4 separate regions of the Mus musculus genome follow, and all the other regions are reported to be linked to region 1. The links are microRNA targets in miRTarBase. Many come from high-throughput screens and were not tested one by one. Region 1 holds a microRNA gene; each other region holds the end of a gene's coding sequence.
Evidence for each region. The annotated mature microRNA mmu-miR-3065-5p reads UCAACAAAAUCACUGAUGCUGG and lies in region 1 at 5,136-5,157, opposite strand. An mRNA with a match to its seed (bases 2 to 7 or 8) in the 3' UTR can be bound and repressed. Matches are read on the target gene's strand: a 7mer-m8 pairs with bases 2 to 8, a 7mer-A1 pairs with bases 2 to 7 and ends in A, and an 8mer does both.

Region 2: miRTarBase lists Marchf1 as a target of mmu-miR-3065-5p. Seed matches in the 3' UTR shown: 7mer-m8 at 2,272-2,278.
Region 3: the mRNA of Pgpep1 is a reported target of mmu-miR-3065-5p. Seed matches in the 3' UTR shown: 7mer-m8 at 1,572-1,578, 7mer-m8 at 1,900-1,906 and 7mer-A1 at 2,653-2,659.
Region 4: miRTarBase lists Foxc2 as a target of mmu-miR-3065-5p. Seed matches in the 3' UTR shown: 7mer-m8 at 5,937-5,943.

The regions. Positions count from the first base shown.
Region 1 is chr11:120,012,821-120,019,936 of GRCm38, reverse strand. It overlaps Mir3065 (microRNA 3065), which reads right to left and starts at 5,170; the gene lies at 5,084-5,170. Aatk (apoptosis-associated tyrosine kinase) reads left to right here. Exons shown (of 14, transcript NM_001198785.1): 3 at 1,045-1,192; 4 at 3,130-3,209; 5 at 3,506-3,624; 6 at 3,744-3,831; 7 at 4,345-4,478; 8 at 6,203-6,287; 9 at 6,368-6,489; 10 at 7,065-7,116. Mir338 (microRNA 338) reads left to right here and starts at 5,075; the gene lies at 5,075-5,172.
Region 2 is chr8:66,467,877-66,474,992 of GRCm38, forward strand. It overlaps Marchf1 (membrane associated ring-CH-type finger 1), which reads left to right. Exons shown (of 9, transcript NM_001293784.1): 9 at 356-3,761. The coding sequence ends at 654. Among named protein-coding and RNA genes, the nearest start is that of Tma16, 15 kb to the right of the region's middle.
Region 3 is chr8:70,644,653-70,651,768 of GRCm38, reverse strand. It overlaps Pgpep1 (pyroglutamyl-peptidase I), which reads left to right. Exons shown (of 5, transcript NM_023217.4): 4 at 355-587; 5 at 984-5,333. The coding sequence ends at 1,176. Among named protein-coding and RNA genes, the nearest start is that of Pgpep1, 12 kb to the left of the region's middle.
Region 4 is chr8:121,117,523-121,124,638 of GRCm38, reverse strand. It overlaps Foxc2 (forkhead box C2), which reads right to left. Exons shown (of 1, transcript NM_013519.2): 1 at 5,744-7,116. The coding sequence ends at 6,540. Among named protein-coding and RNA genes, the nearest start is that of Foxc2, 4.9 kb to the right of the region's middle.

The sequences.
Region 1 (7,116 bases):
TAATGTGGTCTTTTAGGCTCCGGGGAGGAAGAGTTGCCACAGGTGTTAGAGGCTCTGCTCTCAGAATGCAGAGCTGGGCTAACCACTAGGAATGTAGGGCCACCCCCTTTACAGAAAGACAGATGACCTAGAAAAAGGTCCCCAGGGTATGTTTAGCCGTTTGTCCGCAGGAACGTGGCCCGGAGCGGGCAGCCAAGCTCCGGGTTTATGCCCAGTCCTCAGAGCCCAGTTTTCACCTGGGTGGGAGATGTGGCAGGGAGATTTGCCCGGTGCTGAGGACAAGCTGGCCTGGTTTCTGCTCTGTTCCTGTTTTGGTTTTGATGTGTTTGTTTGTGGTTCTAGGGCAAGTGTTCTTCCACGAGAAACCCTGTCCTTGTTTATGGCTGTGGCCTACCCCAGACTAATGCTGCTTGGAATGTGATCTAGATGGGGTGGGGTGGGGGTCGGGTGGTCTCTCCTAGGCTGATAGTCTTCAGAGTTAGCAGCCTGTCCCCAGAGTGATCTCCAGGGATGCAGGAGCAAGCTCTTAGGGTGCACTGGGGGGGGGGGGTGCAGGGCTGAGGGTACCCCACGGCATGCAGGCAGGCAGTGGAGGTGTGGATGAAGAACAAGTCCCTGGGTTCCTTGCTCCCTGCCCAGCTAGGGAAGAGGAACCGAATTACCTTCCCCGAGATGTGCAGTGAGCCCCTGCCTGTAAATCTGCTCTAAGCCATGGGGTGGCAGGGGGTGGGGGCAGGGAGGAGACCACTGACAGGGCCTATGAGGGGCTACTCTGCCTCTGTCCCTTTGAACTCTTTAGCCCTTCTCCAAGCAGGACTCAGCCTTGGGTTCCCAGCCCCACCTGGGCCTGAGGCCTTTGACCTCTGCTGAGATGGTGTCCCTGAGGAATTGGGGCCGGTGAACAGGTGGGGAATGGCCATGTGGCAGGGGCCCATGCTGTAGGCCTGTGTAAGTCAGGTTGAGTTTGGGGGTAAAGGGGCCTCTCCTAGCCTGCCTCCATTAGCCTGTGTCCTGCTCACCCACCCGTGCCGGCCCGACCCACAGGAGTTTGAGAATGCTGAAGGGGACGAGTATGTGGCCGACTTCTCGGAGCAGGGCTCCCCGGCTGCAGCTGCACAGACCGGCCCCGATGTGTATGTCCTGCCCCTCACCGAGGTCTCCTTACCCATGGCCAAGCAGCCGGGTCGCTCCGGTGAGTGGTGTGGGGTCGCTTGGGGCATGGGCACTGGGAAGCCGAGGTCTCCTGGCCGCATCTCAGGCTGAGCTGTGTTGGGAGGTGCGTGGAGCCCCTCTGGGACCCAGGCTTGAGAGTAGCCTTGTCTGTCGCTCCTCCACCCCAGGGGCTGCCATGAGGTAACTGGGGCAGGTGGCTCAGCACTCTGGATTATCCATCTACCTCTGTTCTTCCCAGACTCCTGCTCCTTTGTACCTGTAGGAATGTGGCCCCGTTGTCCCTACCAAACAGGCTACCCACACAGCATAGGGAACAAGAGAAGCATCAATGCCCACCCCCTTACCCCCAACCCAGGTGTAGGCAGGGCCTCTTCCCATAGCTTCCTTGCCCTGTCTGCCTCTCCCATTTGCCTTCCTTCCAGAGCCTCTCCCTGCACCACCACCACCCCCCTCCTCTTTAGAGGTGACGGGTAAATGCTGCCCTGGTCACCTTGGTGCCTGGGACTATGACTACCTCTACAACAGTCAGCTCTCAGGCCTTTACAGCCTGGAAGTTTCAGCTCAGGGCTGTCTCTTGTCCATCTGATGGCGCCAAGGACACCGCGGAAGGTTTCAAGTGGAGAGTGCGGTTGGCCCCATCCCTGTGGTGAAAAGCAGGCCGCTCTTAACCTTGGGCCAGCCCTCCCAGGCTCTCAACACAATGCTTCCCATCCAGGGCCCAGCCTGCATCAAAGTACCTGTTTGAGCCAATAGAGACTTAGATAAATGCTGCCCTGGTCGCCACCAGCCTGACCCAACCCTGAATGCATGGCTCTGTGGCCCATCGAGTCTCAAGGGAGTGAGCTCAAAAGTCAGGCAGGATCCAGACATGGACACGTTTACCCACTGGCTCAAAGGCCTGCAGGTGTCCTTAGCACCTCCTAGGAGGCAGGCTTGGCTATCTATGGCCAAGGACAGTGGGACAGGGACCCAGGAGAGGGCAAAGGTGCTTTTTGCACTGCTCAGCTCTGTTGTTTTTTGGGTTTTTTGGGGGGGGGGTGCATCTTCTTTCAAGGAGGGAGAAATTTGTGTGAGATGGGTCAGCCCACCTAAGCCGCCTCCTCTACCTCTAGCTCCTAACATACAAGCACTCTCCTGCCCCCTGTGCTTGCCCTGGGTTCTACTGTCAGGACCCTGAACCCACTCTGGGACAACTGAGGTCCTAGAGACCCCAGGGTTTCCACCAGGCATTTAGACAGATTAGGTTCAGGGTGTAAGTCTTGGGGGCACAGTGCCCGGTGAGACTCTTCCATGAGCTGGGCACCAAGCAGACTTAGTCCCCGAGGGCTGCCATCTTCCCTTGGGCGTCCCAGCAGCCCTGACCCCGGCCTTCTGGGCTATCAGCGTGGGAGCAGAATTCAGAGAATCCGAGGGGGCATGAGTGGGTGCAGTGAGCCCTGGCCCTTTCCTCTGCCCACGCTGACCCTTCTTCTCCTCTGACTTCACTCTGCCTGTCTCACAGGGAGAATGGAGCCAGTGTGTCCCGTACAGGGCTGTGCCAAGCAGCCCCCAACAAAGGCGGCTTTGCTGTGGTGGGGGTTTGAATGCCAGCCTGTGGCAGGGGTAGGGGGTTGGTTGCTCTGCTGTCCTCCCAGGCCTCGGCACCAGCTTCCTGCCTCATCCAAACGCCTTTCCAGGCCCTGCTGTTTGGGCTTGGCTTCTCCCTGTGGCTCTGCTCTGGGCATCCCCAGGCTTTGCCTGGATGGAGACTTGAGGTCCATAGCTCTGCTGACAGCAGCCACCCCAGAGCCTAAGAGACACTGGCCCTCGATGACAGCGCTCAAACCTGGCCTCCACTTTATTGAAGCTTCTTTGGCTGGGGAGCTTGGGAAAGCTCTCTGGGCTCTGGAGAGCGTGGTCGGGAAGATGGAGAGGGAGCGGTGGCTAAGCTGTGTCTGGATTTCTGTTCCACTCTAGTGCAACTTCTCAAGTCCACGGACCTGGGCCGGCACAGCCTCCTGTACTTAAAGGAGATTGGCCACGGCTGGTTTGGGAAGGTAAGCATGCCCCGGGGTGGCAGGAATGGCAAAGGGTGGACCCACTACTCCTGGGGATCCCCTAGGGAGGGGCTCTTTCTAACACCCGCCCCAGACTGGACCATGTACCTGATTCCTTTTTCCTCATTGTAGTCCCCAGGCAGTGAGAAAAGTAGGAGCCTTGTGGGTGGACTGGGGCTGAGGGTTCTAGCCAGAGCTTGGTGAGAAGTTGTATGACCATCTGAGGCCCTGGGCGCTAGATGGCTTTTCCTATGGAGACTGAAAGGGGACCTGGTGATGCCTGTCACATTTGGCAGGTGTTTTTGGGGGAGGTACACTCGGGCGTCAGTGGCACGCAGGTGGTGGTGAAGGAGCTGAAGGTGAGCGCCAGCGTGCAGGAGCAGATGCAGTTCCTGGAGGAGGCGCAGCCCTACAGGTGGGTGGTGTGGCGGGGGCGGGGTGGGGCCGGGCAGGGGAGCAGCACAGTGGGAGAAACTGAGGGCTATGGGACACCCTCTCCTGCCCTCCAACTTAAACACCCGTGGACTCTTCCAGGGCCCTGCAGCACAGCAACCTGCTCCAGTGCCTGGCCCAGTGTGCTGAAGTGACCCCCTACCTGCTGGTTATGGAGTTCTGTCCACTGGTAAGTGGTCCTCTCGGGGAGGTAGCTCTGTCTCTCCCGGTCCTGTTCTGTAGCTCATTGTTCCAAAGGGGAGTGGCTCCTCTCTTGCTCAGCCTCTTGGGGTCTTTTGTTATTTCTAAAGTAGAGTCCTGGTAGTCCTTGCTCTCCCTCAGAGGAGGTCTGCGGAGAGAAAGTGAGCCAGCAGCAGCAGGGGCAACACTGTGGGGTCTTGGATAGTTCAGCGAGAGGTGTCCTGGGACAGCCACAGGGCTCCCGAAGCTCCTGGGGCAGAGCCTGAGTTCTGGGTCTTCGTGTTGCCCCTTGGGCCCTTTACATGCACAGCTCTGGTGGCTGCTTATATGGAGGTCACTGTGCCAGAATTGAGACACAGGCTTTGCTGAAACAGCAGTGAACACTAGGGTTCACAGCTGATCCACAGGCCACCAGACCCAGGTTCTCTTGGTGTGGGTGGCAGACTTGTGATGGGCTGGTCGCTGCAGCTAGCAGGTGACTGTGTGCTCTCTCGTCCATCAGGGGGACCTCAAAGGTTATCTACGGAGCTGCCGGGTGACAGAGTCCATGGCGCCTGACCCACTTACCTTGCAGCGCATGGCGTGCGAGGTGGCGTGTGGCGTCTTGCATCTACATCGACACAACTATGTACACAGGTGAGGGCTAGCGAGACTAGCCAGGCTACAGCTACAAAGCCCCACTCCCCCAGGGCCTTAACCCTCACCATCACACGACCCTGTGCAGAAAAGTCACGGTGATCCCACGTTGTGGGCCTCATGAACTGGGTTCATCTAAAAATAGCCACTCTGCAGGGAACTTTATCATTCTTAGAACTGGGAAAACTAACTGGGCATGGTGGCTCACGCCTTTAATTGCAGCGCTTGGGAGGCAGAGGTAGGAGAATCTCTGTGAGTTCAAGTCCTGCTAGGTCTACCTAATGAACTCCAGAATAGCCAGGACTATGTAGCAGGACCATCTCAAAATGAAATAAATTGTGAAGACTTGGCATTTGAAACTCACCTTGCAGACAGTTAAATGAAGAAACCCATCCTGTCTACTAGAGCAGTCAGCCATACTTGGGCTCCATACCAACCCCAGCCTCTTTCCCTCAGGCCACAAAGGGAGTGGCTGGGCTGGCCCTGTAGTGGGAGGGGTGGCTCTCTCCTGCCTCTGGTGGCCAGGATGCCCAGCCTCCCATGAGCTGGGGGCACATGCTGGAAGAAGTGGCAACGGACAAGCGGCCCACCAGCTCCAACGCTGCACAGGCCGTCCTCCCCAACAATATCCTGGTGCTGAGTGGGTGCACAGTGACTCCAGCATCAGTGATTTTGTTGAAGAGGGCAGCTGCCAGCCTCCTGCCCTGCCTGCTGCCTAGCCCAGCTGCCCCACCCATAGGCATGGACCCAGGTCACCCCACCCTGTCCCCTGACACAGTCCTCCTGGGGTAGAGGCAGGCCAAGGTGGCCCCATCTACATCCAGAGATCTCTCAGCAGAACAGCCAGTATGGCAGATGAGGGTGCGTCCCGTGGCACTCTATTGTCCTGTACCCCAAACACCTGGGGGTGGGGCGCTATAGCCAAGCAAGAGTTATACAGAGCCTGGCATTCCAGGCTTCCCACTGAGTTGGTGATTTTTATCCTCCACACAAAGGGGCCTTTGTGGTCCATACTGTTCTAGACCTCGGCTCCAGCTTGTGTAGCAGGCCAGGCAGGGCTGCACTCTAGAACATGGGCTCTGACTGCTGGCAGGACCCTCTGAGACACTCCGGGCTTCGGTTTCTCCATCAGTTCTTACCTCCTGGGGACTGGGATGGTGGAGTGTAGTCGGAAGGGTGAGGGTCCTGAGAGGACACTGCAGACTCTCTGCTCCATGGCTTGTTGGCCCTTGTTGGGCAGATCAGACAGAGGGTGGAGCGGGTTAGGGCTCTGGTGCAGTTAGACAGCACTTTGCTGGGGGGGGGGGGTCGTCCTTGAGCATCTTTTGCCTGATTTTCACATGCATTGAAGTGCATTGAAAACCGGGCTTGGTGGCGCAAGCCTTTAATCCCAGCACTTGGGAGGCAGAGTCAGGAGGATTTCTGAGTTCGAGGCCAGCCTGGTCTACAAAATGAGTTCCAGGACAGCCAGGGCTACACAGAGAAACCCTGTCTGGAAAAAAAAGAAAAAAAAGAAGAAGAAGAAGTATTAGAAATGCATTGAAGTCCACACAGGTCTTCCAAAATAGCCAGTACAGGGTGTGGAGCCAGAACTTGGGCACAAGTGGGTGGCCCCTCAGACACCCCTTCCTGTCGGTCTGCCTGGCTGTGCCCGGGAGCCCAACCATTCCACCAGGGCTCACTCAGGCTGGCACACTCTGCTGACATTGCCTTCCACTCCGCAGTGACCTGGCCCTGAGGAACTGCCTGCTTACGGCTGACCTGACAGTGAAGGTTGGTGATTATGGCCTGTCGCATTGCAAATACAGGGTGAGTAAGGCCGTCAGGGCCCGTGTGCAGGGGCAGCTGCTGAGCGGAGCTCACTCCCATCCTGTCCCTGCGTGCTACAGGAAGACTATCTCGTGACCGCTGACCAGCTGTGGGTGCCGCTGCGCTGGATCGCGCCAGAGCTGGTGGACGAGGTTCACGGCAACCTGCTGGTGGTGGACCAGACCAAGAGCAGCAACGTGTGGTGAGCGCAGGCAGGGCTGCCGGGAGGGCCTTGGGATGCCGCCTCCCCAGATGGCGCTGGCGTCAGCTATTCTAGTGGGGATGCTGCCTTTCAGTTCTGCCCCCTGCTCCAGCATTTTGACTTCCTTCTCTGGCTAGGATTAGGGCTGCCACACAGGGAAAGTGTACTCATGCCTGCCACCTTGTGGCCATGAGAGGCACTTTACAGGCTACTTCGTTGATGATGGGTTCCTGAGGTTCCTATACTGGTGTGTGTGTGTGTGTGTGTGTGTGTGTGTGTGTGTGTGTGTGTGTAGGGGGGACTGCCTTGACAGTCAAGGGTATGGGGCCTTCAGGATAGGACCAACTGACACCCCCCCAATACTGGCACCATATTTTGGTTAAAAATCATCCTGAGATGCTGTTGAAGGCCACTTGTCCTTAAGGGATACAGGATTCTGCCTTGCATCTGTGCCTCTAGAGAGGGGCGGCTGTGGCGTAGTGAGGTCCAGTCCCAGAGAGGCTGACATGATGACAGGTGTTCAGGGATTCTGTGCAGTCATGCTCAGCCACGTGTCACTGTGGTTGCTCCCGCAGGTCCCTGGGTGTGACCATCTGGGAGCTTTTCGAGTTGGGTGCGCAGCCGTAC
Region 2 (7,116 bases), not on the chromosome of region 1:
TTTTGTGTGACTAAAATGCAAGAAATCATATTTCACAAATACTAGCCCCACAAGTGAACAATAGGACATAAAATATGAAAGCTTTTGCCAGGGTACTGAAGTTTGTATTAGTCCGTTCAGTAAAAATCTTCACACCCACAACAACTGAGAATGAATCAGGTCTACTGTTTTTTTGATTAGTGTGACTATAATGAAAATGCTCAGTTTCATAGTTTGGGCAACCGCAAATTGACCCCATTCCCTTTGCCTAACATGGTTCAGGGAAGCAAGTGTACTCAGTAAGGGTCATAGTGGGGGATGGGGACACCAAATGTAGAAATGACAACTTGATAACAGCACTCTCTCTTTCTCAAAGGTGTGCTGGAATGGCCATTTTGGACAAAACTGGTTGTGGTGGCTATTGGCTTCACGGGAGGTCTCGTCTTCATGTATGTACAGTGTAAAGTCTACGTCCAACTGTGGCGCCGGCTGAAGGCCTACAACCGTGTGATCTTTGTGCAGAATTGCCCAGACACTGCCAACAAACTGGAGAAGAACTTCCCGTGTAATGTGAACACGGAAATCAAGGATGCTGTGGTTGTGCCTGTGCCACAGACAGGTTCAAATACACTGCCAACTGCAGAGGGAGCCCCACCTGAGGTTATACCAGTCTGATGGAACTAGAGGGGAACTTCTTCACAGAAGGATTTTTGCAGCCCCCAGCCACTACCAACAGAAGTGCTTCTGCTCTGGTGGCTTCTTAATCTTCTCCTTTCCCCTACTGTCTTGTTTGTCCTGACTTGGAGCAAAAAGGAAATGAGAAGAAAATAACACATGACCAGGATCTCAAGAAGCAGAGCCGTCGGTGGGACCTGGAAAGGCAGAGTGTCTTGGGGAATGAGTTCATAAGGAATGGTTGGTACACGCCAGTCTTCCAGAGTGATGGACATGTGATACGCCTTCAAGTAGTGCAGAGGAATCCCTTAACAGACTTCAATTGCAATGTATGCTTCTTTGTAGGGTTCTGTAATGTTAGCCTTCTCCACTGGAAATGACACACACACACGCACACACACACAAAACAAAAAATTTGGTCTTAAGCCTGAAAGTGTGTGCGTTATCCCTAAGTCACACCAGAAGCAAACTTGGAGGACTTGAGAGGGTTTTTTTTTTATACTTTGACAGCTGATTTTTTCTGGCTATTGTGAAGTCTGGTTATTTTGACAGATGCATGTTTTTAAATGGATGCAATACACATTTGATGATAGAAATGTTTAAAATTTTGTTTAAATGATGGAAGAAGAGATTTTCAGGGCATTGTGGAATTTAGCTTTCACTGTTTTTTGGACCACTATCATGCCATGTTTTTGTTTTTGTTTTTGTTTTTGTTTTTGTTTTTTTCTGGTCCCTCTTACACAGTGCTCAACAACAGATATATAACACGAGCTACAAAGGCAACCACAGTTGTAAATTTTAAATCTCCTAGTGTGCCACATTAGGAAAAGTAAAAATAAATAGGTCAATTATTTTCATAATTTAGTTAACTCTACATATACAAGTTATTTCATGTCATCAATGAAAACAGTTAAAAGATAGCTTTCATTATTTTCTTGAACCAAGTCTTCAAAATTCTGCATGTATTTATGACACACCTCAATATGAATAAAGTGTGTCAGACAGGATTTAATTAAGAATATTGGTTAGCAGAGCCCTTGCATTAGAAACTACATCTGTTTCATTTAAGTTGGTTATTTTAAAACAGCAGTTTAATCTGTGATTCTGTTTTTCAGTTTCATTTAAAGGTTACAATTTACAAAGCACTAAACTCACCACATTAAGTATTCTGGCTTGATTTCAACCAACTTTCAAAGGGGCGGAAAAAAAAACCACAAAAGTATAGGAAGTCAGTAAAATGTGTAGCAATGTTATGAAGTCAACTTCTGTATAGAAGCTATAAAGTAATTATGATAGGGAAAATTATTTTGCCACTAAATCAGGTGTGTTAAGGTTTTTAAATCCACATGGAGGGTCAACGTGACATGGGTACCTTAATTAAGGATCTTAACCCAGTGTTTAAACCTGACAGTATTTCCCTCACTCAGCTCAAAAGTAAAAATATTCAATACATTCCATGGTGAGAGATAAGATAGGCTGTCGGTTCAACAGCTGACTACTGTGCTCTACACAGACTCAAATCAACTGATATGAATGATAACTGCAATGAGCTGGGTAAATACTCACAAACAGTAGTTAGCTGTCGAAAGAAAGATGACCACATTTTTTAAAGTGACTTTTGTTGTTGTTGTTGTTGTTGTTGTTGTTGTTGTTGTTGTTAGCTGTCATTATTTATTATCCTGAAGAGGCAGAGATGGCCCTAAGAACCAAAGCACGGGCATCACGTTGCACACATCTGGGATCCATATCCATGAACTTTGTAATAATCAGTGTTTGTTCTTCGTGGGTGATAAAGGAAAAGGAAAGACAAAATGATCTTTCAATGAGAAGAGTATTTGTAGTGACTGACACTGGGTCCAAATCGTCCCACCCTTAGAAATAAAGACACAGTAAACAATGTCAATTGTGTATGACCTGTATATTCATGTATATATGCAAGAGAAATGTTAAGGTCAAGTCAAGTCAAACAACAAAAGGTTAAATACTCATCTTTCTTAAAACCTGTAGGAGGGACATGGATTAAATATGCACGGACAAAGCAATGGACATAACTAATCCGGACCAGGCCTTCAGCACAAATAACTGGAACTTTGTATTAACTTCCTGCAAAGTTTTCATTTTAAATATTTAAAAAGAATAGGACAGCAAAGGAAGGAAGGATGGATGGATTGCCCGTGACTTCACACAAAGGGGTTGACCATCATTCAATTTTTCTGTATAGTTCCCCTTGCTCTTCCTATGATGATAATTTGTCGTCTACCAATACTGCACAAGAAGAGATAGATCTACCTCTTCTTGCAAGTGCAAACTAAAAATGATTTACCTTTTTACCACAGGAAGAAATGAGTTAAATACCTTAATTACCACAGAAAATACTGTTTACAACCAAGATGGATATTTGAGTAGCTTGTTTCATAGAGGAAGGTGGTTGGCTACAACTAATTTTCCAAGGTGGATACCAGTACTAAAACAAAGAGAATAAAAAGCAGAGACAAGCTTTGCTACAACAATAAGAAAAGATAGCACATTGTTTTAAAGTAATAGCTAAACGCTTCAAGTTAACTATGGTGAGCTTTGTTTTTAAATGAGTATATGATAGAATTCTGAACAGCGTATGTACCACACAGTGATTATTCTGATATATTTTGATGCTTTAAAACCCACATTTTTTCCTCTAAATTATTACCTGAAATTACTATTTATGATTCAAACCATCTGCCCTAACTATTCATATATACAACAGTGGTGTTGGAGCCGGGCATAGTAGGTACACACCTGTAATCCCAACACTCTGGAAGCTTAGGACTTCAGGGTTATCCTCTCCTACATAGTGAATCCCAACTAAAGGCTAGCCTAGGCTGCATGAGAGCTTTCTTCAAAAGTCAAACAAACAAACAAGGTTTAAAACTCAATGAATAAATCCAGTAATGAAAATATCTTTTCACATTGTGTGGTAATGGTGTTTTCCCTTAATAACAATGAAAGGTTTGGCTTTGATGGCCTGACTTACTGCTCAAGGAGAAAAACCAGCTTGACAGAATGACATTGTCTTCAAGTGTGTTTACCTGCTCTCATGGAAAAAATAAAGTGAAATTAAAACAAAATTATCCCTGAGTTTAGATTGTTAAAAGTGGATTTTTATAAACACAACATAAAGCTGTGCTAAGAAACACCATAAACCAGACTTCGAAAGCGCTTCCTATCAAGAGCTGACATTTTCACTAGGTGTAATTAGTCAATGAGAAATGAAGTAAATTAAAGCATTTAAGGTAAAGCCTAGGGATGGACGAGGTGCATTAGTGGTTAGACACTTTCTGCTCTCATAGAAGCTCCTGGTCGAGCTCTCAGCATACACGTAACAGGGCACAACCGCCTGTAGCTCCAACTCCACCTCTTCTGGTCTCTGTGGTCTCTAGTCACAGTCACACACACACACACGAGAGAGAGAGAGAGAGAGAGAGAGAGAGAGAGAGAGAGAGAGAGAGAGAGAGAGAGAGAGAGAGAGAAAGAGAGAGAGAAAGAGAAAGAGAAAGAGAGACACAGAGAGAGAGACAGAGAGAGAGAGAGAGAGAGAAAGAGTAAAGTGACCCAAAGCATGTAAACTTAAGTATAAAACCCTACAAAAATGGAGAAAAAGAAAATCTTGAGTCCCAATTTCCCAGGGTTACAATGCAGACAGTAGTCTTTCTCAGACTGTCCCAGGATCAAAACTTCACTTCGAGGAGCTGCTGCTGCTGCTACTGGTGATGATATCCCACAAAATAACCCTCATCCATACTGATAATTTTTCTTTTGTGAAGACGTAGGTAGCCTCCATTTGTTCTTCAACTAAAAAATGAGGTCATTAATACAATGACATCATCAAGAGAAATCACAAAGGTGGGGGTGGGAGGGAGGGAATCTATTCATTCCATCTGTCAGATATAATTTATCTTGCCTTACCAATGGATGTTTTGGAGCAAATACTAAGTGCAGAAGCTAAAACCTACCATCATTATTGTAACTGGTCCTTCCATCAGCCCAATGGTGCTATTTTACATAACAATACAACTAAAAGGAAGCTGTTCTGTTGGGCTGCAGTGTTTCCCCCATATCTGAAGGAAGCCCATGTTGAAATTAGATATAACATTCAAACAAAGGAGAAAGTATTAACTGTGCAATTCTTTGAGATTGGGCATTTGTACATTTTTAGTTTTACCTAATTGTCTTTCATTAACAATTTACTGTTTGTGAGTAATGTGTGCTTAACAAACTAAGGAAACTAATTATCTGTGAAAGACTTTGTATATTAAACAAATGCTCCAAACCTTGGCTGTAGTTTCTCTGCTTTCTGTCTAATGTACTGGGATTCCTAGGGTTGTATTTACAGCACTAGAAACCCTTGAATTCTTCATTTAAGATTTGATAATGGTCTAAGTTTTTAACTAGAATCTGAACATACTTATGTTAAATCTATAGTGACCAATGTTGAGTTATTACTGGAAATTTGGGTGCCCCACCGACACCATCATATTACTGGGGAAATTGAGAACCCCTTTCAGGGTTCTTAGTCTTATCAATAAAATAATTTGTTATCAGACTCAGAAAGAAGCTCCAGGACAATTTTATTAGACTTTAATCAACAACATGGCAGGTGAGCTGGAAATTACAGCAGCTACCAGGAGAGAATGAGGACGTTGGAGAGCCATGTCAAGTTAATGTTTAGCAATGGGTGTCAGCCACAAGTGGAACAAGCAGCTGTATGTCCTAGGGCTTCAGAGAAAAAGTGATGAGAGCCCAAGGGTGAGAGAAAGCATGCTCAAGTTCAGAACCATTTTGGGGAGTTGGAAGGGGGCGGGGATCAGGACAAAACAAAGCAAAACAACCCCTCCCCCCTTTTCTGAGGGGACTGAACTAACAAAGCTTCATGGTAACTCAATAGTAACTGCACCTGGGCCCAGCTTTCTAGGGGGAAAGTACATTATCTCATTAAAGGGATCAGTAATCCTCTATCTCTTTAGCATCAGTTAGAGTGAACTGGCCTTTCTAAGGGTTTACCCAGCTGGTGGGCCAGCTCAACTGGATTAACTCTTATGTCTTGGGTAACTTGGCCAGGAGTAAATAACATTCTTTTGACCAAAAAGAAATAGATTTCCTTAGTGGGCCTCAAAAATAGTTAAGAATAAAGAAATAGTTAACAATAAAGTCCCAGAATGCACTTTTAAAAAGTGTAAGGAGTATGAGCAGTGGGTGAGTCTCACGTCCAACTGCTCTACCTCCCGCACTGCACGGCTGTCAGGTCGGATGGGGCACAGCTCCTTCCTTGCCAAGCTCTCATTGCTTGCAGCCCAGGGAGGTTTTGTAGAGACTTCCAGGCTGGGAGAACTCTCCATTTGTAGCTTTGTCAAAGAAAAGAACTTGAGGACAAGTCAACGTGAAGCAGTCAATGCATTAAAAAGCTAGAAAAAAAAAATACAAAGAAGCACATCCACGCAAGGTGTGTCTGCTTTCTTAGGGTCGCCTCCAGTGTGTTTACAGGGAATATGCTTACATATTCATACACAGGTATCCCTGCAGGTTCCCAAGTTACAGTCCAGAGAGGGATTTACAACAATCTAAGAGAACAGTTACAGAACGGAAAGATTTCAGGCAAGATCTGGGTCTCAGAGAAAACAATATGGAGTAGGGTTTGCTTGCCCGTGAAATGCAAACAGTGCAGCAAAAGAATACAGGGGAGCTGTTTAATATGAGATCCAATAGCTGGCAGTGATGCAGTTACAAACCTTGAAAAAGTCATAAAATAATTATCTTTTTTTTTCCTTTTTTTAAAATTAGGTATTTTCTTCAATTACATTTCCAGTGCTATCCCAAAAGTCCCCCATGCCCTCCCCCCACACACACACACACTCCTACCCACCCCCACTCCCACTTCTTGGCCCTGGCATTCCCCTGTACTGAGGCAGATAAAGTTTGCACGACCAATGGGCCTCTCTTGCCACTGATGGCCGACTTGGCCATCTTCTGCTACATATGCAGCTAGAGACATGAACTCCGGGGGGGGGGGGTACTGGTTAGTTCATATTGTTGTTCCACCTATAGGGTTGCAGATCCCTTTAGCTCCTTGGCTACTTTCTCTAGCTCCTCCATTGGAGGCCCTGTGATCCATCCAATAGCTGACTGTGATCATCCACTTCTGTGTTTGCTAGGCCCTGACATAGTCTCACAAGAGAAAGCTATATCAGGGTCCTTTCAGCAAAATCTTGCCAGTGTATGCAATGGTGTCAGCGTTTGGAGGCTGATTATGGGGTGGATCCCTGGGTATGGCAGTTTCTAGATGGTCCATCCTTTCGTCTCAGCTGCAAACTTTGTTACTCCTTCCATGGGTGTTTTGTTCCCAATTCTAAGAAGGGGCAAAGTGGCCACACTTTGGTCTTCGTTCTTCTTGAGTTTCATGTGTTTTACAAATTGTATCTTCTATCTTGG
Region 3 (7,116 bases), not on the chromosome of region 1:
TTTCTGAGTTCAAGGCCAGCCTGGTCTACAGAGTGAGTTCCAGGATAGCCAGGGCTACACAGAGAAACCATCTCAAAAAACTAAAAAACAAACAAAACAAAACATACCTCAAGCAAGGTACAGTGGTGGTAGATAACCATCGTCTTAGCGATCATGAATTTAAGGACAGCCTGGGCTACATGAGAGTCTGAGACCCTGTCTCAAAGGTGAAGCCAAAGGCCACCCTGGGCTCCTAGGTAGCCACGTTAATAGCTCATTTTCCAGCAACAACAACAGAGACTCACTGTTTTTATTCCCCATGTATGGGTGGGTGCTGCTCCTGCTAACCGTCCCCCAATTGTCTCTTGTCCCCAGCTCGTAGTGCATGTTGGGGTGTCGGGCATGGCCACCACAGTGACGCTGGAAAAATGTGGGCACAACAAGGGTTACAAAGGACTGGATAATTGCCGGTTCTGCCCCGGCTCTCAGTGCTGCGTGGAGGATGGTCCCGAGAGCATCGACTCCATCATCGACATGGACGCCGTGTGCAAAAGGGTGACCACACTGGGACTGGACGTGTCTGTTACCATCTCCCAGGATGCTGGCAGGTAGGCTCCAGGCCCTGAGGGGTGGGTGGGGGGGCTTCCTCTCCAGCAGGGAGGCTGGGGAGGAAACAGCAGATAACTTCCTCAGTCACTCTCCACCTTAGGCTTGAAGATAGTTTCTCTGTGTAGCCCAGGTTGACCTGGAACTCTGCATAGACCAGGCTGGCCTCAGCCTGACATCTACCTGCATCTGCTTTCTGAGTGCATGCCCAGCAAAATACGTTTTCAGAAAATGGAGAGTAGGCATCCAGGGTCCCCCAAATTCCTGACCCCTAGATTCTCCTCCACCTCCCAGCTGTGCCCCAGAGCTGTGCCCCAGAGCTTTGAAGGACTTTTCAGAAGCCTGGTGGCTTTGGCCTGGGACATAGTGACTGTGACTTTTCCTCCCATCTGTCTCAGGTATCTGTGTGACTTCACGTATTATACATCGCTCTACCAGGGCCGCGGCCGCTCCGCTTTTGTCCACGTGCCCCCACTGGGTAAGCCCTACAACGCCGACCAGCTAGGCCGGGCGCTACGAGCTATCATCGAGGAGATGCTGGGTGTCCTGGAGCAAGCCGAGGGAGACATCAGCTGTTGCCGCCAGCTCTGACAGCCATGTACACCTGGGTGCGGTGCCGAGAGAGGGGCCATCCTGACTCATCTGCCCCTCCTAATGGACCACAAGGGGGCAATTGAGAGAGCTCCCATCTGAATATCATCTGGGGACACTTCTGCGCCCAGAGGCCAGGGCTAGTGGTCTGCACACATGCCATGGGGCCACCTTGACCCTGACGCAGTCTGCATTTTCAGGTGTATGGACAAGGAGTTGAAGCTTGCCCTGTGGCTGGGGCCTCACAAAGTATCATAAAGTAGATTAGCTCTAATCCATGTCTTAAACCCTAGATGGTCCCCGCCAAAGCCACTTGGGACCTGGTTGCCTTTTCTATCTTCTGTCTGTTTCTGTCTGTGTCTGTCTCTCTCTGCCTCTGTCTGTCCCCATCCTTCTTTGTTGTACCCACCTTCCTTCAGTGCTAGAACAGAACAGCGTAACTTATGTTCCCATTGTTAAGACTTCAGGCCTAACCAACAAGTGTCTTTCCTTTCTCCTGGGGAGGGCGGCCTCTTTTGCCTCCTGCCCTGAAAATGCCATCATACTTTGGGTCTCCATAGTGGGTTCCCTTTGCTCAGAAGAGCAGGCTGCTATGGCCACCAAGGGCCTGGCCGCAGTAGCCTCTGGTGCCTGTGGGGAGCCGACCCTGCCATGATCTTTCTTGTTCTCTTTTTGATATTTTAAGACTCTTAAAATTTTAGATACTCTAAACTTTAGAGGGTATTTGTTGTTTGTTTGTTTTTTCTTTGGAGACAGGGTCTCAGGTAGCCTAGGCTGGCCTCGTGTGAACTCCTGATCCTCTGGCCTCAGTTTCCTAAGCACTAAGGGGACAGGTGTTTGCCACCACACATGGCCCACCTGGGACCCAGAACCTACCGTGTGAACCATCACCTGGAGCTGTGGATTTTCTCCATCTTGAGATAGCCAGCCTCTAATATCCTGTGAGGGACCTGGGGTGAGAGGCTGCGGTGCCCAGGCATGTCCCTGCATGTCCTATCAGCCACAGGGATATCTGCTGAACTGCATTTGGAAGTGTGCCAGGGACTCCAGCCAGCCTTTGTCTCTGGCTGACTTTGAACTGCCAAGCCAGGAGGAGGGGCTCTCAGGAAGGGTGGGATGTAGCATGTGACCTGGACTCCTTCCAAGACCAAGTACAGTTCCTGCCAGTGAAGCCAAGTACATTGTGGATGCCACCTTCTCTTTTGTGGATGGATAGAGACCTCGGTGTCCCCACGGGATTGATGGATCTGAATTCTGAAGTGACTTCTCATCCCTGGATCTTCTTGTTGTTTGTGAGACTGGGTCTCCTATAGCCCAGGCTAGCCTCCAATTCACTGTAGCTGAAGCTGACCTTAAATCCTGACCCTCCTACCTCGGCCTACTCAGTGCAGGGCTTGTGAAAGCCTGTGTGCTGGGCCTGGCTACTTTTAAGCTCTAGTGTTCCTTGTTCTGATGTGGTTTCTTCATGTCATCATCTTGTTGATCCTGGGTCTGAAGCTTATTTGTCGCCACATGGAGATCTGAGTGGTTGGCTCTCTTTCTGAATCTCAGGGTTGAGGGCACCCTGGAGTGCCCCAGGGTGATTTGCTGTCCCTACAAAGGCATCTATGGGTGTGGGCCTGCAGTTTGAATAACGAGGGCTCCCCCTCTTACCCTCCCCCCAGTCCTGTGCTAACACCTTCTCCAGAGAGAGAGGCCCTGCAGTTTCCCAGATAGCCATGGGCAGGAAGATGGGGGCTCAGGAGTAAGGGATTCCCCAGGGCTCTGGGCTTTTGAGACATCATGTAGACAAGGCAGGCCTTGAACTCCTGGTCCTGTGGCCTCAGCCTCCCCCTGAGATGACCAAGGTGGATCTGACTTTGGTTCCCGTATGTCTTTGTTTTTGTGTTCTGAGGCAGAGTTCTACCTGACCTCTGTAGCTCAGGCTGGCCCTCCAACGTGTGGCAGTCCTGCTTCAGATGTATCAGTGCCTGGCAAGTCTTCCTTAGGAAGACCATGGGCTGTGCTCCACTCTCAATTTTCCCAAAGTCCCTGGCATGGGAACACCATGCTCAGGGACCCCAGGAGGGTGCACATGTCATGTTCTAGTCCCCACTGTTGAGCTGAGGGGGATTCCAGGACATGGGGCTGGTAGTTATTTATTTAGGTATCTCTTAAACACACACCCCTTGCCCTGATCCAAAACTACTTGTTTTTTTTTTTTTTTTTTTTTTTTTGTCGTTTTTTGGCAGGTAGGGCTCAGGGTCTGTAGTTGCCAGGTGTCACCTAGACTGGTCACATTGACCCTTGAGGTCCAGGTCACCCCAGCACTGACCTTCATTTCCCATGCTTACCCTGGGGAGTGTGGGTGGGGCTTCAAGAGGTAGGCAGATGTGTGGGCAGAGCCTGACCTGGGCCTGGCTGGCCCTTACCATTAATGGCAAAGTAGAAAGCTAGCCCAGCGGAGCAAGAGAAGTAACATGGCATAAACCTGAAGCCAGGGACTTGTGCAGGGACAGCAGTGGTAGAATCTGAGGTCTCAGCCAGTCTGAGAAAGTGTCTGATTTATGATATCAACTTAGGTGTGGAGATGTAGCTTTCAGACCAACACCAGCATGCTGTGCCCTGGGCCACTCCAGTGTTTCCTGAGGCCACGTGGAGGGCCAAACTGCAAGAATTGGAGGCAGGATCACCATAGTGGGCACCAATCTTCTGAATTCATTTTTTTGGGAGATGGTGGGGGGTGGTACAGGATCTTGTGTAGCCTGGGCTGGCTTCACACTATGTGGCTGAGGGTGACCTTGAATTCCTTGCCTCCAGGTCCCAGGGATGGCAGGGTTAAGCCTCCGCCTGAGCCTGCTTTGGGGGCAGATCTTTGAAGTTAAATTGATGGCTTCAGCTAAAATGGGAACTCTCTCCTGTACTTCTCAAGCTGGCGTGTAAACCTTCAGGAAAGCGGGGACCCCGAGGCTGGGGGAAGTTGGAAAAGCAGACTCTAGGTGCTTTTGAGTGAGGACTTTGGCTGGAAGTCAGACCAGCTGCTGTGTGCACAGGATGCTTGTGCCTGCGCCCCCAAGGTGACCTTGCTGTATGCTAGGAGAGCGCCTCCAGCCTGCCCTTCTCCCTCCCACTGTCTAGACAGCTCACCCTTGACCTCTCTACCCCTTGGAGTGTCTGAGCCCAGAGTCCCCTCTGGGAACATAGAGACAAAGCCTTACTCTCAGAGCCTGGACTCTGAGAGTTGGGGCTGTGGGGGTCCCTGTGGGGTCCCTATGCATGCCGATGGCTTCTCAAATGTGTACCCAGGCAGGTGGCCTCCCTCCCCAGCCCACCATTTCTCTACATCCACAGGCTGGAGAGAGCAAACAGATAGAGGGGCTTTGGTGTTCTGTGTCTGGTGAAATGCCTCCCGCCCCCCCCCCCCAAAGTACAGTGTCTGGACTAGAAAACAGGGCACATAGCTCTTTTTTTTTTTTTTTTCTTTATATGCAGCAGTAGGGGAATGAACCCAAGTCAATGTTTGGGTTTGAAAAGCTATATCCTGAGTTGCCACAGCCACTAAACATGCCTGTCAGTAAGGCCTGTCACTGGTGTCAGGGACACTGGTCACAAGCTGTAAGGATTGCATCATCCAGGCAATGGTCCTGGAGGCAGAACAAGAGTTCAAGGCCAGCCTCCCCCTACACTCCAAGTTAGAGGCCAGGCTGGGATTTGAGAGACAAAAAACCAAATTATCAGGAAGAGAGGGAGAGAGGTGGGCAAGGTGACTCAGGGGGGAGTCAGTTACCACCAAACTTTTATTCCCCAAGAGCCACAGGGTTTTCTTTTATAAAAAGAGGTTTCACTAATGCTGGTTGGCACCAGGCTCTTTTCCCTCAAAGCCTGGGTTGGCTCCGCCCAGGGCAGCTGAAGCCACACCTTAGGGAGCGCTTCCTGGGTGCCCCCACAGGGGGCCTGGCTGGTGTATGGGACCCCCCAGTACCTCAGATGTTTTATCCTCTCAACAGGGCACTTCTGCCCTCTGAGACCCTTCAGGCCCAGTATGTCTTCTCTTTGAGGCCAGAGCTCCCACCAAGCATCCTGACCCCGGGGGATAGAAGGGAGAAGGGCCTGCCAGGCTGCACTCGGGGAAACTCCACGCTCTTTACTCAGAACCAATAAAGTCATTGAAACCTGTCATTGTGCATCCAGTGTCACCTACTGGGGACTTTCAGCAGGTTCAAACCACTGGAACCCCGCTATGGTCCACACTAGCCAGCCTCTGACTGCTGGCCTGAAGCCATCTTCCTCCCTCAGCCCTCCTGGGTCTGGGGTCAACACCTGTACGTTCTTTTTGGAGTAGACTAGGATGTACCCCCTGCCTCCCACAAACCCAGCCTTATTTTAAGGGTCTGGAGAATCCCACGGTGGAAGTCAGACCTCCCCTTCCCTTTCCTGTGGTCCTCACTGCCTGAAATTTCTCTGGTCAGCTGAGCCCCGCCTGACAAAAGGGAAGAAATGGGGTGATTCTTGCCAAGCCGGGGCTTGTGACCCTGGCCTGGGAACACAGATTCCTGTCACCCTGGCTGTCACGCGCTGCAAACTTTCATAGTCATAGGAAGTCATAAACTAACAGTCATCGGTGGGGACACCGGATGCCATGCTCCTGGTTGGGTTTACAGGAGCCTGCTGACATTCCCAGCTGGGTGATCAGTGCCACACGGGTCGGACAGCGTATCACCTGGGCAGAAGTGTCTGAAGGACACCTGGGCTCTATTGTCTATCAGAATAGTAAACAAGGGACCCCAAAACATTAGAAGTCCCCAGGAATCTCAAGCTGCAAGGAGAAGGGTGAAGCCCGGGGCAGCCAGAGCAGGAACTTAACTTAGCTCTGGCAAACGCTGCACACAGCTCCCACTGTCAGTCAGGCCACCTTGCAGGAGAGACTAGCCGAGAGTGATGGGTTACTGAACAATGGAGGGCCCCGCCTGGCTGTACCCTGTGGCCAGGCACGCTCTCCATCCGTGCTTAGCCCTGAGCCTCATGTTAGGACTTGGAGTGCTCTGCGCCTCTGAGCTTTTTTCCATATGGAATACATCTTGGGCCAGTGAGATGGCCTGGCAGGTGAGGGCACTTATTGTCAAGCCTGAGAATCTGAGTTTGAACCCTAGTGAGTATTGGGGTCACTGGGTGCACAAATAATGAGGAAATGACACCAAAGTCAGACCCACCACGAGGAAGCGCTTCTAACTGGCCAGGGTCCTGAGGTCAGGAGTGGAGCTGACCACAGCAAAGGCCTTGAAGGGCAGGAGCAGTCTCCTTTTGAGGCGTAAAATAAAGGAGAAATTTGTAAATGGAGGTTTAGTCCTGGGATGTGACTGTTTACCATACAAGCCCAGGCCTACTCTAACAAGGCAGTGGTCTCTGATGTGGGCCAGGTGGTTTTACTGCAGCTGAGGAGAGGGCAGGACTTGAGGGTTTGCAGTAAAATGGGGCACAGAGCAAAGCTTGGAATTACCCCAGGGGTTTTCAGAGAGGTGAGGCTCCTGCTTGAGACCCTCCCTGTCTTTTATTTATTTGGTTTTTTGAGACAGGAATGACTGCTTCTGCGTAGCCCTGGCTGTTGTGGAACTCACTCTGTAGATCAGGCTGGCCTTGAATGCACAGAAATCCCCTGCCTCCTGAGTGCTGGGATTAAAGTGTGTGCCACCATGCCTGGCCAAGACCCTCTCTCAAAACACACATTAACACCTGTAAACTTCTATATGACACTTAAAACCCCATATTTGGGTGGGAAAGGGACACACTTGGGAATTGCTTAGTGTGATTGGCTGGAGTGGGATTGAGGGAGACAGTCCTCCCATGGACCTAAAACAGTCCTCCCTTCACTCCACTGTCCTCCTTCAGGCCTCTGCTTCTGGAAACTTGTTTTTAAGGACTATGCATCCTTTACAAGTGCCTCAGACATGTCCCAGGTGCCCA
Region 4 (7,116 bases), not on the chromosome of region 1:
TCCTTTCTCCCACGGGTATACTTGGTTAATAATACATGACGCACATGGAGTTCTTTATGCTCTCCTGGCACTCTCCAAGAGAGCACAGACAAACGCAGACAGTCCGTATTCTATCTATTGCGTTAATGGCTTCTAGAGACTTGTTTTACAGCCGGGCGATGCATATCTTCAATCTCAGCATTCGGGAGGCAGAGGCAGGCTAATCTCAGTCTGAGGCTAGCCGGGTCTACGCAGGGAAACCCTGTATGGGGGAGGGGCTATGGACAGAGAGCATCGTGACTAAAGTGTATTGAGCACCACAGTGTGCTGTGTAATTGATTGTGGGAGGTGCTTGCATGAAATATTTTCACCCCCACTACAAGAAGCAGCAGCCTGGAGCGTCTTGCCACTTCAGCTACTCAGGAAGCTGAGGCAGGATGATCCCAAGTTCAAGTTCCCTCTAGGCTGCACAGTGAGTTCCTAGCAAGCCAGCAAACTCAGTGAGATTTTTAAATTTTGTCTCAAAATTTAAAAAAAGAAAGGAAGAAAGGAAGGGAAGAAGGAAGAAGAAGAAAGAAAGAAAGAAAGAAAGAAAGAAAGAGAGAGAGAGAGAAAAAAAGAAAGAAAGAAAGAAAGAAAGAAAGAAAGAAAGAAAGAGAGAGAGAGAGAAAATTAGGGATGGGGGGGTTATCTATCACTCAGCTGCTAGAATGCCTGCCTAGCATTCAGGAAGCCCACATAAATCAGACATAGAGGCCTATGCCAGCAATCCCAGCATCTAAGGGGTAGAAGCAGGAGGATCAGAGGTTCAAAGTCCATCCTCTGCTACATGGCAAGTTTGAGGTCAACCTAGGGTACATGAAGTCCTGTCTCAAAGAGGGGGGGGTTGGGGCTGGAGAGATGACTCAGGGGTTACAAGCGCTCATTCTGAAGGAGTCTGGCTCTCAGCATCCACATTGCGGGTTGGGGGTGGGGTGCTCACAAGCACCTGTAACTCTAGCCTCAGGGACAGAATTGGAAAATAATAAATAAACGACTTTAAATAAAGGGGTTGTAGGGAGAGTAATGTGACATGCTTGTCCAGCGTGTGAGAACTCCTGGTTTCAATTCCCAGTAATATACACACGTACACGAGTACACACACACACACAAATTAAAGAAGCATTTGTTATTCCCATTTTTTTTTCAGATCAAGAAACTGAGGCTGTGTTAACTTATCTCAATTCTCCCAGAGAGACCTGTCCCAAAGACAGGGTCAAAATCATCTTACAGGTGCCCTATATGAGGCACTCAGGACTCCTGTGAAAATAACCCTCCCGGCCAATGTGAAAGACATGCCTCAAGGATGCACCCATTCCACAGAGCATGAAACTGAGGCTAAGCCACAAAGTTACTCTCCAGCTACTGCTGACTGAATGGAATCAGGAGTCACAGTTTGTCCTCAAAAGTGGAAACAGTGAGGCCTGAATGCTCAGGTGTCCCCAGAAGAGTGAGGAAGAGCAGAGAAGGAAGAGATGCTAGAGGTACGCAGCCAGTGCACCCCCAAATCCTCACTTTCAAACCTGGAAGGCTTTCTGCTCTTCTCCCTCCTCCTTTGGGAAGGGCCCAGCAGCGTCTGCCCTCCCCCACCCCTGCTCTCCCTAGGGTGTGTAGATGGGAGGTGGGGCCTTTAGAAAAGAAGAGGCCCAGAGAGCTGAGCAGAGTTTCCCAAATGACTTACTTACTTATAGCGCACGCACCTTGTTCCCAGTAAGGATGGGAAGGTTCACAAGGTCGCCCCTGGGGCGTGTCCACTACCCCACTCAAAGCCGTCCAGATAGGCAAGAGAGATGGGAGCATCCCTCTGAGAGCGCCCGCCTGGCAGAGTTAAAAGTTGGGACTGCCCCCATTACCCACACCCATTACAATGCTTTTTCACAGTCCTAAGAAATATCACCCAAGAAACTGGCCCCAATACTTAAGGGGATGGGACGAAGTTAGACAACGATGGTGTACTGGGCCTGGAATGTCCGTCCCCAGGAGGCAGAGTGCCTGGGGGAATCGCCAGGCACTCTGGGTTGGAAGGCCAGAGGCTGCCAGAGGCTGAGGTCTGAAAACTCCTGTCCTGTCGGGGGCCCTATTTCCCCGACAGGACAGGACAGGTCAAAACCTCCCACTACAGGGCTCTACCTCTTTGTACCTCCACTACTGCTCCTCCTGGCTCTGTGCACTCTCACGGACCCCAGGGTGGGTTTGAACTCTTAGAAAGACAAACAGCCACCCCAAAAGACAAGGCTCCAAAATAGAAAAATACCCACGGCGTGTCTTTCTGCTGTCGTCCCTGCACAGGGGTGTTGAAAGGACTGCTGTCGTCCCTGCACAGGGGTGTTGAAAGGATGGCTGATGTAAGTTAAAGGCGCATTGCATCTTCCCAGACACTGTCCCCAACAACCTAATGCTCTGGAAGTATGCTACCCGGTTGCATGCCTGTCTCAAAAAAAAAAAAAAGAGCACACATTTCAAAGGCCCTGCCAGTGGAAGGCAGGCGAGGAAGGCGGGCAGGGAATAGGGAATGCTTCTCAAAGTTTGGGAAAACATCCCAAATATTCAGGACTCGATGGGTCTGAGGGGCAGGGGAGATGGCACCCTGTGAATTCTGACCCAGTCCTGCACCCCACTTGAATTGGAAATCAAGTGGGACTCAGATGTCTCCACTTCTAGCTGAGCCACCCACTGACCCATCTTCAGGGCACAGAAGTCGGTCGGCCAGGGTGTCCAGCGGCAGGCTAGGTGGCACAGCGGTGTGGGGCAGTTTTAGGGAGCTCTGCAAGCTGGGAGATCCCAGCGCCTTCTCAAGATCCTAGTCCTTGTGTGGGCTGTGAGGCATTTTCGAAGTATCTTTATTCATACTTGTCTGTTTTGGTTTGCAACAACGAAGTTGGAGATTCCCATCTCCACTCCCACCCCCCACCCCACCCCCCACCTTTGGATTTGGGAGCCAGAACAAGGATGAAGAAGACAGCAGCCAACAAACTTTGGTAGGGAGGGTGCTGGAAACTCAATGTTCACCAGCTTTACCCAGATCCAGGCAGGAGGGTCACAGGGAAGAGAACCCTGAGGGTCCACAAGGCAAACACCAGTATCCCCCCAGAGAAACCCTTCCTTTTCAGCTCCTTCTAACCTTTGACCTTCATTTACCTCAGTAAGAGAAGACAAGAATGATGAACTTGTCAATCTCAGGATCCCTGGTGACTCCCAGGTGACAGGGGTTTGTGCTTTGAGGTGTAGGAGTTGAATTCCCAGTTGGACGCATCGCATCCCGCATCCAAGTCATCCTCAATTTCTTCATTTGTGGAGTCTGAACACCTGAGTCAGAGAGTGAGGGCTGTGGCTGCCTATCCAACCTGGTTGGGGGAGGGTCCGGGCAGGGACTCTGCTAGCAGGCACTTCCTGAAAACTTCAGCCTAAGATGGCACAGAGGGCTCTCCGAAGACCTGGATCTGTCCTCAAAACTGGATGGTGTTTGATCAGTGCACCTGGTTAAGGCCGGCCTGTACTTGGGATAAACCCACATGAAGGTTTCCGCCCGTGTCTCTGCGTTTGCTTTCGGTTTTTATCTGCCGTATCTTTTGCCCAGCCGCATCGGCTTCTTGGGTCCTGGTTATCAGACAAAGCTGTGTTTGTGTAAAGAGCAGAATCATCCTGGCAGAGTTGGATGGCCTGGGGTAGGCACTCCAGGGCTTCCATCTCAGAACTCCTTGCCCCCCCTCCTTTCCTAGAATGCCCTGGACTGGACTTGCTAGTGACAGAGAAACCTAAGATAGACCCATGTAGGGCCAAGAACAACCTGTGTCCCCATAGAAGTTTTAATCCAAAAACTACCAAGCATTCAATAGCAGCTGTTATGAACTCCAATATTGTGGCCCCACCATGCCCCCTTGCTGCTGGCAATATTGCTGGGGTGGGGTGTGGTGGATTCTGGGTTTATCTGGAATGAAGATGAAGCCCCTAGTTCTAAGGCTGGGCCAAGCAGGGCTGCTAGCATGTGAACTCAGCGCAAACCTTAGGAATCTGACCTTCTGGGAACTATCCTTTCCCTTCCTGACTGCTCGAGGAAGCAACACCCCAGACCAACTTTTCCCAGGACCGCATTTTTTCACACCGCTGCTCTGGGAGGCCTGGGAAAAGCCTACAACACAACCTGGGTTCCCTGACAGTCACAAGTAGGGCCTGCTCCAGGGGGCTTCTCTCTAGCTACCTACTTGAGAACGAGAACGGTCCTCTTTAAAAAAAAGCTCCCATCCACAAAGCCTCCTATCTTTCCCTGGGTCAGGAGTTCTGAATCTTAAGAGGAGGGCAAGCTTTCAGGGAGGCCCCTAAAACATCTGGGAAAGGAGCGAGCCAGCTGGCTTGGACAAAGCTCGCTTCTCCTGGGGCAAGAGGTTTGAAGAGAGCCATGCAAAATGAAACCAGTGTTGGGAGGAACCAGAGATCTCCCGACCCCTTCCTAAGCTCTCTGCTCTGCTCAGGAACCAAGATACACCTGGCCTGCCCCCCTCCACAGCACCCCTGTCCAGTTCTTAGTCCCCCCACTTTATGGAAGATACTGAAGTGTGGGTCACATTCTGGCACTGCAGGTTGAAAGACTGTCTTACATACACGGGTAGGGTAGTATCATCAGGAACCTCCCCAAATTCTACATCAAAACAGCACAGATATAAAACTTGCAGTTTCAACAGTAACACTATATACGTGTTAACCCGTGGCCACCACTAAGCTAAGCAGATGACCTGCAAAGTCCACCCCCCTCCCGGGTCCCTGCCTCCTCCTGGCCTACATGTTCTGTGCAGAAAGAACTTCCATTAGCACAGTCCAGGTTACCAACTGGCGTGGGAATCCATGATATGCCTAAAGTCCAACACGCAGGCCTGTGCTGAAGCTGTATCTTTCAGGCAGCAGATTGGTAAGGCACCCCCACCCCCAGCCAGCCAGGTACATTTTAGAGAGGTTTGTCCCGATCTATTTTCCTTTTTTTTTTTTAAAGAAATGAAATACAAGAATCAAAAAGAAAAATAATCTCCCTGTTACTTAGCATGCTGAAAACCAGAGCCATTTCAGCGCTAAAATATCATGCTGGAGGCGCACAGTGGCTTCTTTTTCCACCACGCCGGAGTAAAATATTTAAAGCCCAAATTAAGAAATAAATCAGACTGAAATTCACTTCTAATCTGATCCCAAAGCCGGCAGTTAAATACCAGAGACCTACCAACCCTCTTTGCTTCTTGCTGGCACTCTTAAAACGCCAACAGGGGCAACAAGTCCGCATCTAAGGAAATGGAGGGAGCCGAGCACTCACCCAGGCTCCTGCTACGCTGAGGTTAGCAAGCTGCAGGCCGTTTGTCCTTTCTCGGTTTCTCCCCTCTAACAGAGGACAGCTGGACACCGAGACAGGGTGACACCATTTTGTTTTGACAATTGGCAACAGTTTTCTGCATCCCGCAAAGCATTTCGTTAACAGGCCAGCAGCACGTTGCCCTCAGGCAGCCCTGTCCGTGTGTGGATGGAGAACAGTTTCTCAGATTACCTTGAGCAGAAAACAAAAATATCTCAGGACGGGATAGTTCAACAAATCAAGAGCCCCTTCTATTACTAATCGAGAGCTCCATCGTCCTGTAACCTGTATATGCATCCAAGTACCAGGCCACCTGCATCACAAAAATAATCACAACTGGGCTTACTACAATTTCCCTTTTAAAATTCAAGAACACAAAGACACTGTCCGAACTTTGGGCAGAAAAACAACACGGGTTTATTTTAAGGTAAATACAACACTGAGATCACATAAGACAAACACAGGTGAGATTGAAATTTTAAAGTCTTTTGGTGTGTTTTTGGAATACCCCAGATGGCATCTACTGTACAAAGCCATGCACTTCCTAAATTAAAAGTATCCGATACTTAATTTCGTTATCCAACAACAACAAAAAAATAAATTATTTTCTTGTTTTGTAAAAGACCTACAGTTTGGGGAGGGACCTATTTTATCATGGTGACGTGGGGAGAAAAGACCCACACACGTTTCTTGAATTCAATTTGGCAGTAACAGTTGGGCAAGACGAAACCTTATCCAGTGGACACAACTTTAAATATTATATTAAAGGCTCTGGGCAAGAACAAAATAGCCTGGTTACAAATCCGCACTCGTTTACAGAAGGCACCTTATCCGGAGAGACCTCTTGCGCCCGTGGAGAATCTCCACAGAAGTCATTAGGGGTCCCTATGGGGTTTGGTCCATAAGCTAATCTATGAAGCCCCAAGGGGAGCAGGCGCAGCATCTGGGTAGGGGAAGGAATTAAAAAAAAAATCTGTATTTCGTTTTGCTGGGCTGCATCCCCCTTAGAGGGACTCGCTGAGATCTCAAACTGAGCTGCGGATAAGTTACCTGCGAGTTGCACGGAGCTCTCTGCTCCTGGTTCTGAGAGAGGGGCGCTTTCCGTCGCTTTCTGCGGCTCCGTCGAAGAAGGTTCCCATGGAGGAGGCGAAGCCGGTGCGGTCCTGGGGCTGGAGCGGACTGGACAGCCTCAGTATTTGGTGCAGTCGTAAGAGTAGGGGGCTGCGTGGCGGTAGAGGGACGGCGTAGCTCGATAGGGCAGCTGACAGCTCGCATTGCTCACCTGGGACTCCCCGAGGGACGAGTTGTCCAGTCCTAGCCGGTGCGAGTTGAACATCTCCCGGACGTTGGGGAAAGTTTGCTGTTGGGTTGCAAACGTGTGGCCGGGGAGGTGGCTCAGGTCCCCGCCGTGGTTCAGATACCAGGAGGTGGCCTGGGTGGCGGGCTGCGGCGCGGGAGGGGGCTGCGGGGCGGGCGGTGGCGCCTGCGGGTGGAGGTGGCCGTGATGCTGGTGGTGGTGACCCGAGGCCCCCAACGCGCCCTCCTGACCCGCTGCGAGGTTGAGGGCGCCGAGCGGGGAGCCGGGGCCGCTCGGGTGGTCCGACAGAGCCTCGTCCAGCGCGGGCGGAACGCACACGTGCGCGGGCCGCTCGGCCCCGGTGTACAGACTCATAGCCCGCATACTGCACTGGTAGCCCGCGGAGCCCGCAGCCTCCAGGCCCTGCGCGCACGGCTGCGTGTAAGCGGCGGGTGGCGCTGCGGCGTAT